Kluyveromyces lactis: one gene and its partner. The protein of the gene in region 1 interacts with the protein of each later gene in a pairwise test. Links are inferred from orthologs where the notes say so. Each region holds a gene or a part of one and is shown in the gene's direction. Other genes may lie near its edges.

The links. The genes of interacting proteins can lie anywhere in the genome.
Region 2: the proteins of GRR1 (region 1) and SSN2 interact in a two-hybrid assay, tested with the Saccharomyces cerevisiae proteins (2 studies listed by BioGRID). The link is inferred for Kluyveromyces lactis from reciprocal best matches to the Saccharomyces cerevisiae genes GRR1 and SSN2.

Annotation. Positions count from the first base shown.
Region 1 is NC_006041.1:541,815-550,624, forward strand, and holds GRR1 (SCF ubiquitin ligase complex subunit GRR1), read left to right. Parts: upstream 1-4,064; coding exon 4,065-7,784; downstream 7,785-8,810. Other genes in the region: JSN1 (Jsn1p), read left to right, coding at 178-3,462; BIR1 (survivin), read right to left, coding at 7,961-8,810. UniProt on the Saccharomyces cerevisiae protein: Substrate recognition component of a SCF (SKP1-CUL1-F-box protein) E3 ubiquitin-protein ligase complex which mediates the ubiquitination and subsequent proteasomal degradation of target proteins.
Region 2 is NC_006038.1:105,723-114,406, reverse strand, and holds SSN2 (Ssn2p), read left to right. Parts: upstream 1-4,023; coding exon 4,024-8,187; downstream 8,188-8,684. Other genes in the region: KLLA0_B01397g (FAD-binding oxidoreductase), read left to right, coding at 1-1,636; KLLA0_B01375g (putative hydrolase), read right to left, coding at 1,776-3,698; Smc5-Smc6 complex subunit NSE5, read right to left, coding at 8,208-8,684. UniProt on the Saccharomyces cerevisiae protein: Component of the SRB8-11 complex. The SRB8-11 complex is a regulatory module of the Mediator complex which is itself involved in regulation of basal and activated RNA polymerase II-dependent transcription.

The DNA of each region.
Region 1 (8,810 bases):
CAAAGATATACTTTTATCTAATAATTGGCTCTTACTTTCATTGACCCGACTCTAGTGTGTTTAGAAAACCGAGATATAAAACTTATCAATCAGAGCTAAAGCTAACTTTCCAAGGAACAGGTCAAAAATAGCAAATAGGTTTTTTTCCCGGCTTCTCGCAAATATCCAATTCACGTTATGGAGAAGAGGAAAGCTTCCGGCGATTCTATGTCAGGATTGTCCAACATTCCGGAAGTTATCGATCCAGGAGTGACAATTCCCATATACGAAGATGATTTCACCTTAAGTGGTGGCAATAATATAGACCAGCTACCAATCCAGCCACAGAAGCTAGGTTCTTATAGATCCAAGGCAGGGAAATTCTCCAACACGCTATCGAATCTTTTACCTAGTATCAGTGCGAAATTGCATCATAATAAGAAGGGTTCAAAGGGTAGTAGTGCCGTGGGAGAAGGTAACCATTCTGGTGAGTTAAGCTCGGATGATGCGACTGCAAATACCAGTGAACAGACTTCGAAGTCGGGTTCTATAGCTCAGATTAATTTGTCAGTGCCTGGACATATCACCCCGCCACTTGACGTAGATTACAATCAAGCTATTCATCTTCCGGATAGTTCAAGTCTTTTGGTCCCATCACAACCAAGGCTTTCCGGTGATTCGTTCACTTTTGCCACAAACAGCGTCCCGCTTCAACCAACTGCATCAAATACCATTTCCAGAACTAGGAACAATACCGTTTCATCTCAAATTACTGGCCCTTCTAACGTCAACGGGTTGGTCCCAAATGTCGGCAATGTTTGGTTCCCTAACGATATGAGTGTGAATCCAATGTCTCCTCCTGGCATTCAAACAACTACTAATCCAACTAATGTCAATAATAATAATAATAATAACAACAGCCATTTAGCACCAGGTACGTATAGTCCTTATGAGGCAACTGGTAACTATTTCGATCTGAACACAAGTTCTAATAACATTAATAACTTGGGTGTACCTGGAGCAACAACAGCTGGTGCCCATCAGTTCCAATCTCAACAAATTGGAGGGGTTTGGAATTCGAGACCTAGGTCTCAATCAAATGCGTCCAGTATCTATACCGACGCTCCAACCTACGACCAGATGGATACTAGATCTAGGGCTTCTACTTTCATTATACCACCTTCTATGGATCCACAACTAAAAGCCACTGCTGCTTCTACCAACCCAATTGTTCAAGATGACATGGATTCCAGATCGATCAATTGGGTGACAACTGATCCATCAGTACCATCGATCAACCACATTTCAAACTTATTACCAACTAATACCATATCCATCTCTAATGTCTTTTCATTGCAACAGCAGCAGCCTCATTTGTCCAATACTGTCAATTTGACGAGTACAAGTTTGGCAACGTTGTGCTTGAAATTTGGAACTGTCATTTCAGCACGGACCTTGAGGGGCGTTAATATGGCAATTGTTGAATTTGCCTCTGTGGAAGCTGCCATCAAGGCAAAAGAGGCTTTGAATGGTAAAGAAGTATCTCTAGTCGGTGCTCCAAGTACTGTTTCCTTTGCAAAAGTCTTACCTATGCATCAACAACTACCTCAGACTCAGCAAACTCAACAGCAAAATAACCATCAATCTACTGCCATCAACCCTCAGTCCCTGCTACAAGAACAGTTATTCTCAGGCGCAGTCCAATTCCAACAGCAAGGTAACGTATCCGTTCCTTCTTTTACTGGCAATACGCACGCACAATCGAGCTCTCAAGCATTTGTGTCACCTACCAATCCATCCTCAAGTAATTCTGAGAAGGAACAATGTCCATTCCCACTACCACCACCATCTTTCAAGGAGAATATCACTTTGTTGAACGATACTATTAATAAGTTTGGTATCAATTATGATACATCTCAGTACCAGCATATCATTGCAAACGCAATTGAATACAATGGAACAAGTGATACTACTGATTTCGGTCCATTACCTGAGCCCTTATCTACAAGGGAGTTCGATGCCCCAAGGCTTCGTGAATTACGAAAAAGTATTGATTCTGGACAAATGTCAGATTTGGAAATTGAACAGCTAGTTCTAGCTATGTTGGATGAAATACCAGAACTGAGTTCGGACTATTTAGGTAATACTATAGTACAGAAACTATTTGAACATGCCTCTTCCGTCATTAAAGATATTATGTTAAGAAAGACAAGCGTATATTTGACATCGATGGGTGTACACAAGAATGGTACTTGGGCATGTCAAAAGATGATTACAAACGCAGATACCCCAAGACAAAAAATGTATGTGGCAAACGGAGTCTATAAGTATTGTACCCCATTGTTCAACGATCAATTTGGTAACTACGTTATTCAATGTGTGTTGAAGTTTGGTTTCCCTTGGAACAACTTTATCTTCGAGAATATTGTTTCCAACTTCTGGAATATCGTGCAAAATAGATATGGAGCTCGTGCAGTCAGAGCTTGTTTGGAAGCCCATGACATAATTACTCAAGAACAACTCTTATTACTTAGTGCTATGATTGTGTTTTTTGTGAAATATTTAGCCACCAATAGCAATGGGGCCCTTTTGGTTACGTGGTTCTTAGACACTTGTACTTTGCCAAAAAGACACTCAATACTTGCTGAGGCATTATTACCAAATATTTTCGAATTAGGGTGTCATAAGCTTGCCTCATTAACAATTTTGAAAATCTTGAACTATCGTGGTGATGAAGTTGCCAAAAGGGCTATATTAGATACTATCTTCGGCCCTATGGATAACGAAATATCTTCTAAACCACCTCAGCTCTTATATCAGTTGTTGAGTGACACGAATTATGGACCATCTTTTGTTTATAAAGTTTTGTCTATTCCTATGTTGGAAGGAGACGTTAGACACCATGTTATCGAACAAGTTCGCTACATTTTGACCACAGAATCTAATATCACACAGCATCGCAGACTCTTGGAAGAAGTGGGCTTGAATGCAATAAACAATCAACCATCTACCGCTCAAACCAAGCCAAGAATGAGTATTTCCCATGTTTTTGGTAATGACCATCCTCAACATATGAGGACTGTTTCCGTCAACAGTGTCAGGTCGGCATCTTCTAGACCAAGAGCCTCCTCGAACGCACAATCTCAACAGCAACCCATCCAATCTTCTCAGGTCCAAGCTCAGTTACCTCAACAATCCCAATCTCAACCTCAGCATCAACCTCAGCAAGCGTCCATTTCTGGCATCTCTGGGCAAGCAAGCTACTACACCTACCCTGGCATGTTTCCCGCTTCACAACCGTATCAGTATTCCACGTCAACCAGTGGTCTGAATGATGATTTAGTGTCAAATTTTGATATGCTGACATTCAATAATGGCACGCAAATATCCTTGCCGCAACTAACAATGAATGGTCAACCACTCCCCCATTCTCAGAATAGACATCATAATGGACAGTTTGGTGATGGAATGTTCAACCACTGATTTGTTCACGAGCTATTGTTACATACTAATAATATTAAAAAAAAAAAGAAAATGTGGCACGTAAGACGCTAAAGTATCCTGTGGGGAACATCCCTGTATAATAAGAACCTCCCCTCGCTTCCCTCTCATCTATTTCTCACCTTCTGTTTCATGATCAAAAACTTACACAATTATTGCAAACGACTCCTGATCCTACTTATGTTATTCCAGGATGATGATTTTTACGACCTAAAACCTATTAAAACAAGCTTGCAGCACAAACTGCTGTCTCGATCGATGACTTCATACACTTTCGTCTCATAATATAGATATAACTTCTCCTTTTCATCTTTTAAATGTACATAAATATATTATATATACCTCGATCTTCAAAGTTTATTCTTCTCAGCTTCCTCTAGTTTGACAGTATTCGTCTTCTGTGATACTTCTTAGTATATTTTGCGTAATTTCTATGTCACAAAAAAAGGTAACCGCTCTCTCCTTGCTGATTAAACGTTTTATGTGATAAAATACAGGTCCAATTAAGTGGAGCCAATAGTAGATGAAACTCAAAAGGAAGTATTTGTACTATTTTGAGTGATACTTAAAATTGCTACGCTACAATGGACCCACAGCAACCGGCATCCGATAATTCTGAATGGCAGTTTCAGGTCAGTCCTGGCGCTGCTTGGAATTTAAGAGCACAAGCCAGGAGGGGCCAGACAGGCAGCAGGGATGCAATTCCGTTAAGAGTGGATGAGCTGACGGATGAGAATGAGCTTAATTGGGAGGCTCTTAATAATAGGAATCTTAGCATTCTTGGAAACGATACCCTTTCTGATATTTTCAGATCAAATCAACTGATCAATAACGGAACTAACGATAATAATAGTAATAACAATATCGACGGTGAAATACTGAATACTACAGGAACTGACGAAGATAACAGAAGAAGTACTGATATAGATAATAATACCGCTGACCATTTCGAAGAATTGACGCGGGGAGCTGCTCGTGAAGCTAACTTATCGAGGGAAAGTGCTCATGTATCTTCTGGTCTGCCTGCTGACTGGTTTACTACCATGAATCCTAGTAAACTGTCTTTACACCAAAGACCATTTTTGGCTAGAGAGCGGAAATCCGCCCTTAGTGGCATTGCACAAATTGAAGATGATTTAAGACAGTTGTTTGAAAACATAGAAAAAGAAGGATGGAAATTACCACCGATCGAAGGTGATTCTGAACAATTACAAGAATATTTTGATAAACACAAAATCGATATGAGGGCAAGACAAAATATTGAGAATTTTGTTCTCAAAATGCAAAAAGAAGCATTAGATGACAGCTCTAACTGGACCGAAAAGGAAGCGTTGTTGGATTTCTTACTGAAGCAAGTCCAACTTACACCAGAAGACACTACAGCATTAAGTGAAATTGTCGAACTTTCAAGATACAGATTTAAATTTGCATTAGGTATTATAGAATTAAGAAAAAACTATCTTAAGGAGTCTTTGCAGCTAGGAATCCAGCGACTTCGTGACCTAAACTATTCAGCATTTTTAGCGGAGAGTAATTTGTCGACGGAAGTTGTTGAACATCTAAAATCAACAATTATGAAACAGCAAAGAGTTATTTTAAGGGCAATCGAAATGGAACTCTATTCTCTACATTCCTATCAAGAAAAATATTCGGAAATTATCAAAAGGATGGCGAGATCGATACATGACTACTATAAAAGAAAGAATACCAACCCTAACGTACCAAATCCTATTTATTACTATCGCGATTTGTTTTTGAAATACTCTCCTTGGACAAAAAGAGGATTGGACTTGGCTTTATATGATATGCATGTCTCAGAAGAGGAATGGAAGTTTATGTCTAATCACGTGAGAAGCCAGTTGCCCCAGATGCTCTCAATGGTTTCTAAAGATAATGCATTATATACCAGAATCAAAACACCAAAGAACACTTTCCCGTTATCTGATCTTCCTCATGAAATCCTAGCAATGGTTTTAGAAGCAAAAAGTCAAAAAGCCAATATTGTTCCCTTAATGGCTGTTTCTAAGGCTTGGGCTGAAGTCATTGCAAAACTCATATATTATCGTCCCCATATCAATAAACAGCAGCAATTGAATTCTTTTTTGATTACCATGAGCAAGCCTAAGGAAGAGACGCTATTTGATTACAGGAGCTTGATAAAACGTTTAAATTTTTCATTCGTTGGTGACTATATGACAGATAGAAAACTAGAACATTTCATTGGGTGTCCTAACCTTGAAAGACTTACTTTGGTTTTCTGTAAATATATTACAACCAAATCTGTGGCAAAAGTTTTAAAGGGTTGTCAATATTTACAAAGTGTCGACATAACTGGTATTCATCACATTAGAGATGATTTGTTTGAAGTATTAGCATCGGATTGTGAGAGGATTCAGGGACTTTATGTTCCTCATTCAAACGATGTCTCACCTAATGCTATCTCGAATTTTATCACTCACGCGCCGATGTTAAAACGTGTCAAAATAACTTTTAATCAATCTATTGAAAATGATTTGGTGATGAAAATGGTCAAATGTTGTCCATTTCTCGTAGAGGTGGATTTAACGTCAACACCGAATATTGATAATCATGGCTTGGTTACGCTATTCACCTCTTTACCTCAATTAAGAGAAATCAGAGTCACGCATAACACGAACATCACCGATGAGTTTATGTTGGCGGTTTCTCAGGAAACCATGGGATTACCTGCATTAAGACTAGTCGACTTCTCTGGTTGCGAAAACATCACGGACAAGACAATTGATAAACTTGTTACTTTAGCACCCAAGCTAAGAAACTTATTTTTGGGGAAATGCAGCCGTATCACAGATTCCGCTCTAAAGTCGTTGGCAAGATTGGGAAAAAATATACAGACAATGCATTTTGGTCACTGTTTCAATATTTCAGATGAAGGTGTCAGGGTTTTAGTAAGCAATTGCCCCAAGATTCAATATATCGATTTTGCTTGTTGCACCAATTTGACAAACAAAACCCTTTACGAACTCGCTGAGTTGCCCAAACTTAAAAGAATAGGTATGGTTAAGTGCTCTCAGATTACAGATGAGGGACTTTTAACAATGATAAGCATTCGCGGAAGGAATGACACGTTAGAGAGAGTCCATCTATCTTACTGTACCAGTCTAACGATCTATCCTATATATGAATTGTTGATGGCATGCCCCAAGTTATCGCACTTATCGCTAACTGCAGTTCCATCTTTTCTTCGTCCCGATATCACGCAGTTTTGTCGTTCTCCCCCCAGTGAATTTACCGCTAATCAAAGGCAGATATTCTGTGTATTTTCCGGAAAGGGCGTTCATAAGTTGCGTCATCATTTAATGGGTATTCATGAACCTACCGATGGACCTAGCACCAAATCTGACGAAATTTTCATCAGCTTTTTAAAAAACAAAAACGCAATACAGTCTGACACTATTGAAGATGAGGATCTTGAAAGGTTATCCCATAACGCCGATCTTGATTCTGCCGCATTGTTTGCAGCTTCTGCAGTCTTCAATTTCGCTAATGAGCCTTTTAACCAAATTGAATTTGCTCATCTTGACCATGTATTCTCATCCATGCTGATAACTTCTGAAGATGAGCATGTTGTAAGCTCTGCTGATCTTACTGCACTGGAAGATTTCGACCGATCTTTTTACGATAATCCGCTTGATCCAAGGTTTACGGATAGATATGTTACGGTTGCACCACCGGCTTCTTCTAATATTAATAATGAACTCGCTGATGTTATAAGGAAATTCCGTAAAATATTGAATCGTGTGTTAGATTTTGAAGTCAATGTCGCCAGTTTATGCAGGATCCAATTCCAATATTGTGGTACGTTAATTGCAGAAATGTCTTCGATTTACATAACATTCGTCGATTTAAACAGATATATCTCAGAAATATATCAGAGAATTAAAGCTTCAGAAGAGCCAAAAGACCTCTTAGGATTTGTGCTGTGGAAAAAGTGGTGGTCACCTTGCTTCAAGGATTTAATGAGAAATTTTAAGATTACAGCTTTAGTGTTGAGAATTTACGTGAAGGAAAGTTTGACAGTACTTACCCGTCAAAGAGAATTGGTTTTACAACGTGCCAGGGAAACATGGGACAGAGAGGCTGCTAATGATCTTCCTGACGGAGAGGGAGATATTGACATGGGTGTCAATATGCTATTACCACCAGGAGGAACTGTGGCTGAAGAAACTGATAACAATGATAATAATATAGATTTGAGGCTCTTCTTACCTCCCGGAAACGAACAGAATAGAGAAACTCCGGATGATCAAATCATTGAGGAGTAACTCAAGTTAAGTGAAGAAATTAGCACGGAGAAATATGATCGTAGTGTCGATGATAATGATAACAATTATAATACTAATAATACTAATACAATTTTTCGACGCCGTTGTTTGGTCAATCGATATATGTAGAAACCCCTATGTTTGTGTCTCTGTTTTTATGTAGTTGACGTATTTCGTCAGAAGTCAATATTAAACCTATTAGCAAACTCAAGCAAGACGGAGTCGTCATCGATTTGCTGTATGAATTCCTTTGCTGTTGAGAATTGTCGTTGTAATGTCTCTATTTTTGTATTAATGGTGGTTTCAAAAGATTCAAAAATCTCCTTTCCTTTCTGATCAATCCAGTTCTTGAAGTTCAGGGCAAGCTCCTCATTAGGCATGCTGTTTATGAAAAAAGTCAGCTCACCCGTTAAATCAGAAGCCAATGAAGCATCAATTCTATTCATGTACAATAACAGATCGCTGAAATACTTATTAAGTGTTAAGACATCCTCACTCAAGGAAGTTAGCTCACTGTTATGTAATACGTTCCATTTTGGTAGGCTTTCAATAGGAGTGGTCTGCGTTATTGATTCTGCATCTTGGTATTTTTGATCCAGATGTGGGTGATCCGTAGAATGGTTAGAATTGTTAATGACAGCTTTAGTGTCCACGTCTGGTGAGGAGGGAAATGGTGCGAAAGATACTTTTGGCTTGTTGGAGGGCGATACATCTGGTGTTCCTTGCCCGTTGACATCTTGGAATGTTAAAGATAAAGACCATTCATCTGATAATCGGTTTGAAGTTCTTCGCTCCGTGTTATCCGCACCCAAATTGTTAGCGTGACTTTCGACTAGCTCATTGCTAATATCGGCACCCTGTTCCATTCTATTTTGAGCTCTTGAAACGTCATTGGCGAGTTCTGGCTCATCTATTGGATTCTGCTTAGGCCGAAGCAAATCTCGTTCACGATCTGGTAAACTTTGAACAGGTGATGAATGAACTCCGTCCTGGTTGTCATTGGGAGAGTAATCACTATCATTTTCA
Region 2 (8,684 bases), on another chromosome or scaffold:
TAATGGTAAGAGGATAGGAACTAGCACAAACGACAATGGTGTAAGGCTTTCCCTTGTTTCGGGTAGTCTAATTGTCGGAATCGGGTTGGGATTGATATCTTCAAGTTATTTTGTTTCGAAAGGGGACAAACAGGTGTTCCCATTACAGTCTACCACACCATTAACAGCTTTGGATCCGCCAAGATACGGCTCGGATGAAGATTTGAAACTTTGTATTAAAGAAATTATTCAAACTATTGGATCAGATAACGTGAAGAACACCGAAGCAGAACTGGATCACCACACTGATAACGGATTTAACCCAACAAAACCGCAACCTCATCAGAAACCGAGATGGATTGTGTATGCTACCTCCACAGAAGACGTAAGTGCTGTTATGAAGATCATCAATAAATATAACATCCCTGTTGTGCCCTTCTCTGGGGGTACTTCTCTGGAAGGCCACACATATTCCACACGGCCAGGTATTGTCTTGAACACTTCTAAGATGAACAAAATTTTGGCTGTCCACCATAAGGATTTGGATGCTGTGCTGCAGGCTGGTGTGGGATGGCAACAATTAAACGAATACTTAGCGAGTGTGCCAGAATATAAAAACATGATGTTAGGCTGTGACTGTGGTCCTGGGGCTCACGTATGCGGGATGGTCAATACTAATGCTTCAGGTATCGGAGCAACAAGGTATGGATCCATGGGTGCTAATATCATTTCTATCACTGTCGTGTTAGCTGATGGTACTGTGGTCAAGACCAAAAAGAGACCTCGCAAGTCAAGTGCTGGTTATAACTTGACAGGCCTTTTTGTAGGTAGCGAAGGCACGTTAGGTATAGTTACTGAAGTGACTGTAAAATTACAAGTGAGGCCACCATACGAAACAGTGGCAGTTGTTCAATTCCCCACTTTAAAGGACTCCACAAATACTGTCGCAGAACTCTTCCAAAAAGGTATTCAATTAAATGCAGTAGAATTATTGGATTCAAGCATGATGAAATGTATTAATTACAGCAATTTGGTGAGCAAAAAATATGATAATGTACCTACTTTGTTCTTCAAGATTTCAGGATTGAACAAAACCGTGGTACAAGAATATGTCAAGCAAGTTAAACAAATTTCTCAGGATAATCACTGTTCCAAATTCGAATTTGCAAAGAACGAACAAGAGGCAGAGGAGCTTTTTTCAACTAGAAAGAATGCTTTATATCTAATGTTGGACTATGCCTTCAATGAAATTGATGAAAACGCAAAGATGTGGATCACAGATTGTGCAGTGCCACTTTCCAATCTTGCAGCTACTCTCGAAGAATTGGATAAAATCACAGCAACTTACCCTCTAACTCATATGACCTTGGGTCATGTTGGTGACGGGAATATCCACTATGATATTTTCTATGAACCGGATCAGTTTGAAATTTGCAAACAGCTGGTAGCTGAAATCAATGCTGTTACTCTTAAAAATGAAGGTACGTGTTCTGGGGAGCATGGTATTGGAACTGGTAAAAGAAAGTTTTTGGAGGATGAATTAGGATCAGATACTGTCGATCTAATGCGGAAAGTAAAGTTAGCTATAGATCCAAAGAGACTGTTGAATCCAGATAAAGTACTCAAGATCGATCCCTTAGATCCTAGTAACGAATGAAACCACCAACCACAAAAAGGAAAAGATACCAGAGGTGTGAAGCCTCGTATCCTCTGAGAACGCGATCTATAGACTACTAATTTATTTTATTTATATACAGTTGAACTTTTAATGATATTATTATTACTATAGTCATCATTCATTCTATCATTGCCTTCGATCCAAAGTGTTCATCGGCAATATGATTGACAACTATCCAACCGAATGAATTAACAAACCTGCGACGAACAATGATGTTATTATGGGAATCAGGCTGTAGCTCAACGATGACCTTTCTCCAGTCCATTGTCTCCTGCCAGTACCTTGCTATTCGTTCTTCTTTCATATGGATCGAGTAATTGGGATATATTATCTTTTTCACAAGCTTCTTATGTTTGTAGTGTTTATCTGGTAATTCTTCCGGGGTATAAACCTTGTCATGAATAATTCTGTCCGTTCTACTGGAGGGATCCACTAGGTACGACATTCCTGGCAGCGGTGCCGATATTGTACTTGCAGCAGCTTGCAATGTATTTGCCTTTTTTGGAGGTTTGAAAGTAGTTGGAGAGTCAGAATTATTGTTCGAATCACTACTGGCAGATTCTACCGAACTGGTAGTTTGAGTCCGCACATACGGTTTATATTTTTCCTTTTTAATGAGTGACTGGGGCAGCAACCATTGGAGAATAGACTTATTGTCCGAAGAGCTCTCTGGAATTTCCCCCAAAGATGACCCTTTCTGTTCTTCAACTCCCTCCTCAGATTGGGCATTGTTTTCGCTCCTCACCTGTTGCACATCACTTAAACCTCTCCAATCAAGATATAGTAAAGCAGCCGTCCTTAGAGGCACTATACCATCAAATGCGACATTAGCATACACGGTTCTACACTTGAATCGTTGGAAAACTTCTAACGCCGGATGTTTAGGTAAAAGCTCTAATATGGGTTTAGATTTGATTCTATCATGTGATCCATCATTATTTACAATACCTTTTGATGGCAGAAAATAGCTGCGCTTCAATGTGAGATCCCTTCCAGTCTGTCCCAAAGCGCCAATGTCCAGCACGATAGATATGTATTTGGGCAAATCTCCAATGACTCCGAGGAATGGGCTCGCCGCCGCCACAAAATTGACGGGTGTCAAGCCTGTGGTCTTGTCAAATATGTCTGGTCGTTCGACAGAGATATAGTGAATGGCCATAGCTTGCACGGGTCCTCCCAAAGAGTGACCTACAAATGAGATTCTTGTTAAGGTGAATTGCTGTTGAAGTTTATCGATGGTATCGATTATATATTCTGCCAACTTGAATCCTAGATGCCGTATACCTTTATGAGACTTCCCGACGTTTCCAGGATACCCTCTTATTACAAGATTGCCATTATTATCATCTGGCAAAAAGTTCGACGCTCGTTCAATGGTGTCTTTTAAGCAAAGCATATCTCCGCCAATAGAAGAGAAGATGCCATGTGTAATAATTACGAGATGAACTGGCTTATCTGGAAATGGCGGAGGTAAATTCCACAACTGTTCAGTGTCAAGTTTGGAAATTTTCAACCCATCAGTCTGCTGAACTTCTATATTCTTGTCTTTCTGGGAATGTTTAGCAGTTTTGTATGTTGTAGCTAGCGTGAAGACGAATGGAAGCCTTACAATGGTAACGACAGTGAACTGGGCAATAAGGTCAATCTTCCAAGCATAACAAGAAGTACCGTCAACTCGAGCATTAGAATTGAGATAAAGTTTCGCTTTGAAATTCTCATCAGGCTTGAGGTCACTCATGAACTCAATTCCATCTCCTATGAATTGCTTTCTCTCGTCATAATTGTTCGGCGTTATTTCAACATAAATTGAGTATGGTCCAGTTATCCATAACGGCCTCAAAAGCGCGCTCTCCTGGTTTTTGAATTCGAGATAGAGAGTATCGTCAGTACACTCAATTCCGTCAGATAGTAGCTTATTTTTATCTACAATTATCTTATAGCGATTGACATCCCCGATACCAAGTGACCCTGTTTCCCTTAAAAGCAGAATACCACTATCTGATGACTCAGTGTCGTTCTCTTCAGTCAGTTTTATTGCCATCTTGGCATACGCCAACCACTGTTAGCAGAAGTACAGGTTATACTGCGTTTCCAATTGAGAGTGCGCCGCTAATCACGGGGGGTGCGTTTAGCTTTATGCTTTGGTACCTGTCATTCATTGTTTTGTATTGGCAATCTTTTTTGTTTTTGTTTTATAATGATCAAGCGATTCATTATTATAAGTAGTGATAACTCGAGATAAAATCGTATAATTTTAAAAGAAGGTAACTAGACAGCATCTCTTAACAAGTACGGATTTTTGAAGTACCGTTGCATCCTAATCAGTCTGACTATCCAGCTTACTTTTCATCAGAGCAACGGAAACCATGAAAAAGGAGGTTGGGGACGCATGTCGATTGGAGGACATCGTTACCAATTTATACAGGTTAGAAACTGTCAAACAAATAAACTATCACCAATATGTACCTAGCAAGGCAGATAATCAATGGTCAATTCAAGCAGAGTTGTTCCTAAGGAGGAAAAACCCCAAAGTACTTGCAGCTCTTTTTTCCAGGGAGTTATGGTGTTTTAGTATTAACGATGATCCATTACCAGAGTTAAACCTTGAGCTGAATAACGAATCGGAGTCACCCCAGCCAGAGCGGAAGGGTCACTTCACCCCAGAATTCTCAAAACCTCACTTGCCTACCCCATATGCCATCTTTATGAAGGCTCTCAGGCGTATGATATATGTCAATTTGACCCTATCCTCCAATGAAACCATCGTGCCCTTTGGAAACTCATGCATATTTCAGGAATCATATACCTTTTCGACCAAAATCTTACACTTTGATCCACATCTATTTGAAAATGGAGATTTGACTGTTGCAATTTGTTCCAAGGATTTGGGTTTATCGAAGTTGAATGCAGAGAGCCTCAAACATGAAGTGGCTGTGTATTTGGCTCCATCTGGGATCAGAGTGTATTTACCATCCACAGATTTAAAGAAATGTTATGTATCACCACCCAAAAACGCTCAAATGTTTCTCAAGACACTATTTGTCTCCCATGGAATAAATTTAATCGATGTCGACGGTTTGAAATGGGTAAAGCTTATTCCAAATGCTAACCATTTGAATGGCTTCACTCCAACAATATCACATTATCTTGACGAACCAAAAGGAAATAATTTCGTTATCTGGCCGGCATGTCTCTGTTTTGTACAAACAGCATCTGACGTTCAAACTCCTCAATATACTGCATTTTCAAGATCCCCGCAGCTTGAGTTAGATGATTGTTTCGATATGATAGATGGATTTATACAGTTAAAACTCACTTCGGCCTACAGAACGCCTGGAACATCTGCAGGGATGGGAACTGTAACCGGACATAACCCATTAAGTACGGGAGGAATATTTACTGATCAGTTTCAAGGGTTTAATAAGCATTCGGCCAATAACAGCAATAACGTATCTTCAACGGGAGAGAATGGTAAGTTTTCTCCGGAATACTCTAATGATCCAAACGTAACACCTCTGCGAGATAATAAAACTAGTAGACAGAATTTCCCCACAGAGAGTTACAGCAGTAATGGTTTCATTACAACTCCAATAATAAATGAGAATATCACTCCAACCGTTGATGATATTATAACAGAAACTCCTTCCGTAAAACCTCAGAACGATCTTTGGAATGAGAAAAAGGATGTAATAAATAGTACATCCAATATCAACTCAAAGGACGCATCAGTAGGTAGTTCTGAGCGTAAAGTAGAACTGGAAACCGCTTTTGAATCTCCCGCTCAGAATATTTCGATAGAGGAACACGAGCATGTAGAATTCGACAAAGATCTTTTTGGTGAAGATAGCGACGAAGATGTCAGTACGCGAAATAAGAACGAAGAACTGGTATCTGTAAAAGAGATTACTGACGAAATGTTTGATCTAGCCGAAGATGACGATGAGGCTGACGGATCAACTAGTAACTCGTTAAAGTTTGATCGTCCCGACACCATCGAGTCTATTGATACTGACGAAAAGAAGACAAGAACAAAGCGTACCTATTTGGACATACCAGTGGATGTCATTACTATAGAAAAGACACCTACATTATACGAAGATCCAGGAGCACCTTTGCCTATTGAAACCCCAAAAGACAGAAAGAAAAGTATATTCGCACCACTCAATTTCAACCCCATCTTTGAAAGTAATGTGGATAACAAGTACAAGAATGGAGGTAAGTTTTCTGTTAACTCGAACACCAATGACGAACCAATACAATTTGGGATAAGTACAAGTAATATATCAAGCTCAGAAGATGATGATAGCGATTTTTCTCCTGCTGATTTCAACAATAATGGACCATCTGCAGGAAAGGGCTTATCATATGATCCAAGAGACAATGATATACCAATGATCGAGTCATCAACATACGAACCTATTGCAAAGGACTCTCTTCCCGAATTGATAAACCCACCATCTTCTTCCAAAGATGATTCTGTGGCATCTTATAATACGATCGGAACTCTAATGGAAAAACCTGTTAAGTCCAACTTAGACGCAATATGGAAGCCCGCCTTAAGTAAATCAGAAAGAGCTGATCTACCAAACCAGACAATTAATGGGGTCATAAACGACTGCAATAACAGCTCAAACTCAAATCCCACAACTTACTTTGAGAATACGCCTTCTCTCGGACCGGATACTCTATATGATAATTCAAAACCAAGAAGTTCATCAGCTAACTTTCTTTCCACGGTTGAAATCGACCCCAAAAGCGAACAAACTATTCAAACCGCAGAGCAAGAACAATCTGAATCATCTAGAATTCTCCCCTACCTTTTGAGACACATGCCTTTGTTCTCGTTGCCTGACGTGTTCCTTTGTCAGAATCCATCTTTGCCGCCCGGAAAAGACTTCGAGGATATTCTAGAGATTTTGACAGATCAGATAGTCTTCAATAATGATATGTTTTCTGATGATAGGGCAACAGAATCTCAGTTTAAAGGGATCAAGGATTGCTCCGTTGGCACCATCAGCGATACCATGAACCAGCTTTTTGGGAATTTTTCAAAGCTTCACGGAAACGAAATAATAGAGGAAGTCTTCTATTTGCCTGAACCATCAGTGTTTGTGAAGAAATCTGAAGATACAATTAAAATAAAAAGCTCATCGTGTTATTTCACGGAATATTTAAATCTGAAACCCAACCGTGGGGTAAAAAATTTCAGGGCCCTAGTGCTAACCACTGAGGCAAAAAATGATTGCATGTCTTTCGTATCACAAATGTCTCAGACATATTCGAATCATGAGTTAGGGTTCTGTGAACTGACTAAGTTGACTAATGACGATAATAAAGGGTTAATATACTTAAAAAATTTTAACCAAGACACCTTACTACTTCTTTCCGCACAGATTGTATCTTTCTGTTCAACAGCACTCTCAAATATTAAGAACATTCCTTTACTCATCTTTCTCCCCATCAACAAACTTTCATTAACAGAATGTATATCAATGATCCTCAAGTTTCATGTAATCAGGAAGGAGTTCAAATCTAAGTTACCAAAGGCAGATATTTTGTTGAGGCTCGTGAATATAGATTTCCTCAAAAATCCACTTACACCTATCACTGCGTACACTTCATTGTGTATGGCAATCTATAATAGTCTACCACCAAAAAGTACTAAGGTAACGTCCCTAACAAATGATTTACCCAAACAAATTGAGTTCCGGACACTGAAGAATGCCTCCTTATCTATCCATTACGATAACTACATCCATTTGGCATACTTGAGAAGTATTGATCGTGAGTGGCTGTGTGCTGCCTGGTCAGACACCAAAGGCGTCGAAAGCTTCGTGAAAACCTGGTATGTCGGTAACTCCAGAACTCGTTTCGAACAAGTGTGCAATGACATCTGGAAAATAACCCTACAATTGGCGTCTAAGAATTTTGGAAATGTTTGCTTGGTGTTGACAAGACTCGATAGTGTCCTTCCTGATGACGAATTGATCCATTGGAGACGTCTATCAGTCGCCACAAAAGATCTCCATCTTGCTGTGGTCTGTGTCGGAGATAACACGAAATTAACATTATTCGATGAGGACAAAACATACCCAACATTTAAAAACTTGTTCAGAACGAAATCGAATCCGCAGACAGGAATATCAAACAGTATAGACGATCTTGAGATAATTAACATTGATGAGGAAGTCCATGGACTAATATTCAGTAACCCGTTGCAGCTAGCAAACTCCCAGCATAGATGCGCCATCAAAAGTGGAGCATTGATTCGTTTTGCAAAAAGCGAAGGCGATAACTTCATTGATAAATTTGAGGTAAATCTTTTGAACTGCCCTCATGCAGACAGTTCAACACTTTTGAAGGAAATCTTAAAACAATACAGAAACTTGGCAGGTTTGAATCCATGGTTCGGAGTATCCTATGGAAAAGATAATTTCATTCCGTGGCATGTCGTTGCAGTAAAAAATGTCATGAACTCTATTGTACATGTTAAGAGCTCATTCGAAAAGGAGACCCATATTATTGATTAGTTTGAATAGATAAAGTAATATTAATAGGTCTGCTCGAACAAGGGTATCACGTCTTTCACATCCATGAAAGAGTTCGGAGACTTCGCAAATGTGGTCAAAACTCTCAGAAGTTCTTCAAAGTTCCCTTGTGGATGAGTAGTTATGATTAACCTAGTCAATATAATTATGCAAAAATCCATCTGTATTCTCCGCTTCGAAATTCGAGAACGGTTGAATGCCGCAGACCTGTCTATGGCTCTGAGCAATTTCATTAATTCTGAAGTCACTTCTTCAAAATTCGACATCTTGTTAACAATGTTGAAAGTCCGCCTTGGCTCAACATTACTAAACGCCTTATTCAATAACTTTTCAACCAATGTTGTTATCAAATTTCTGTCCTTTTCTACATCGCATGAGAGGAAGAACTGTTTGAACGAACTAATTTTTAAATCACTATACAGTGCATCAACAATTGTGCCATACAATGCGTCAAGTGTGAATGGGTAGCTCTGTAAATG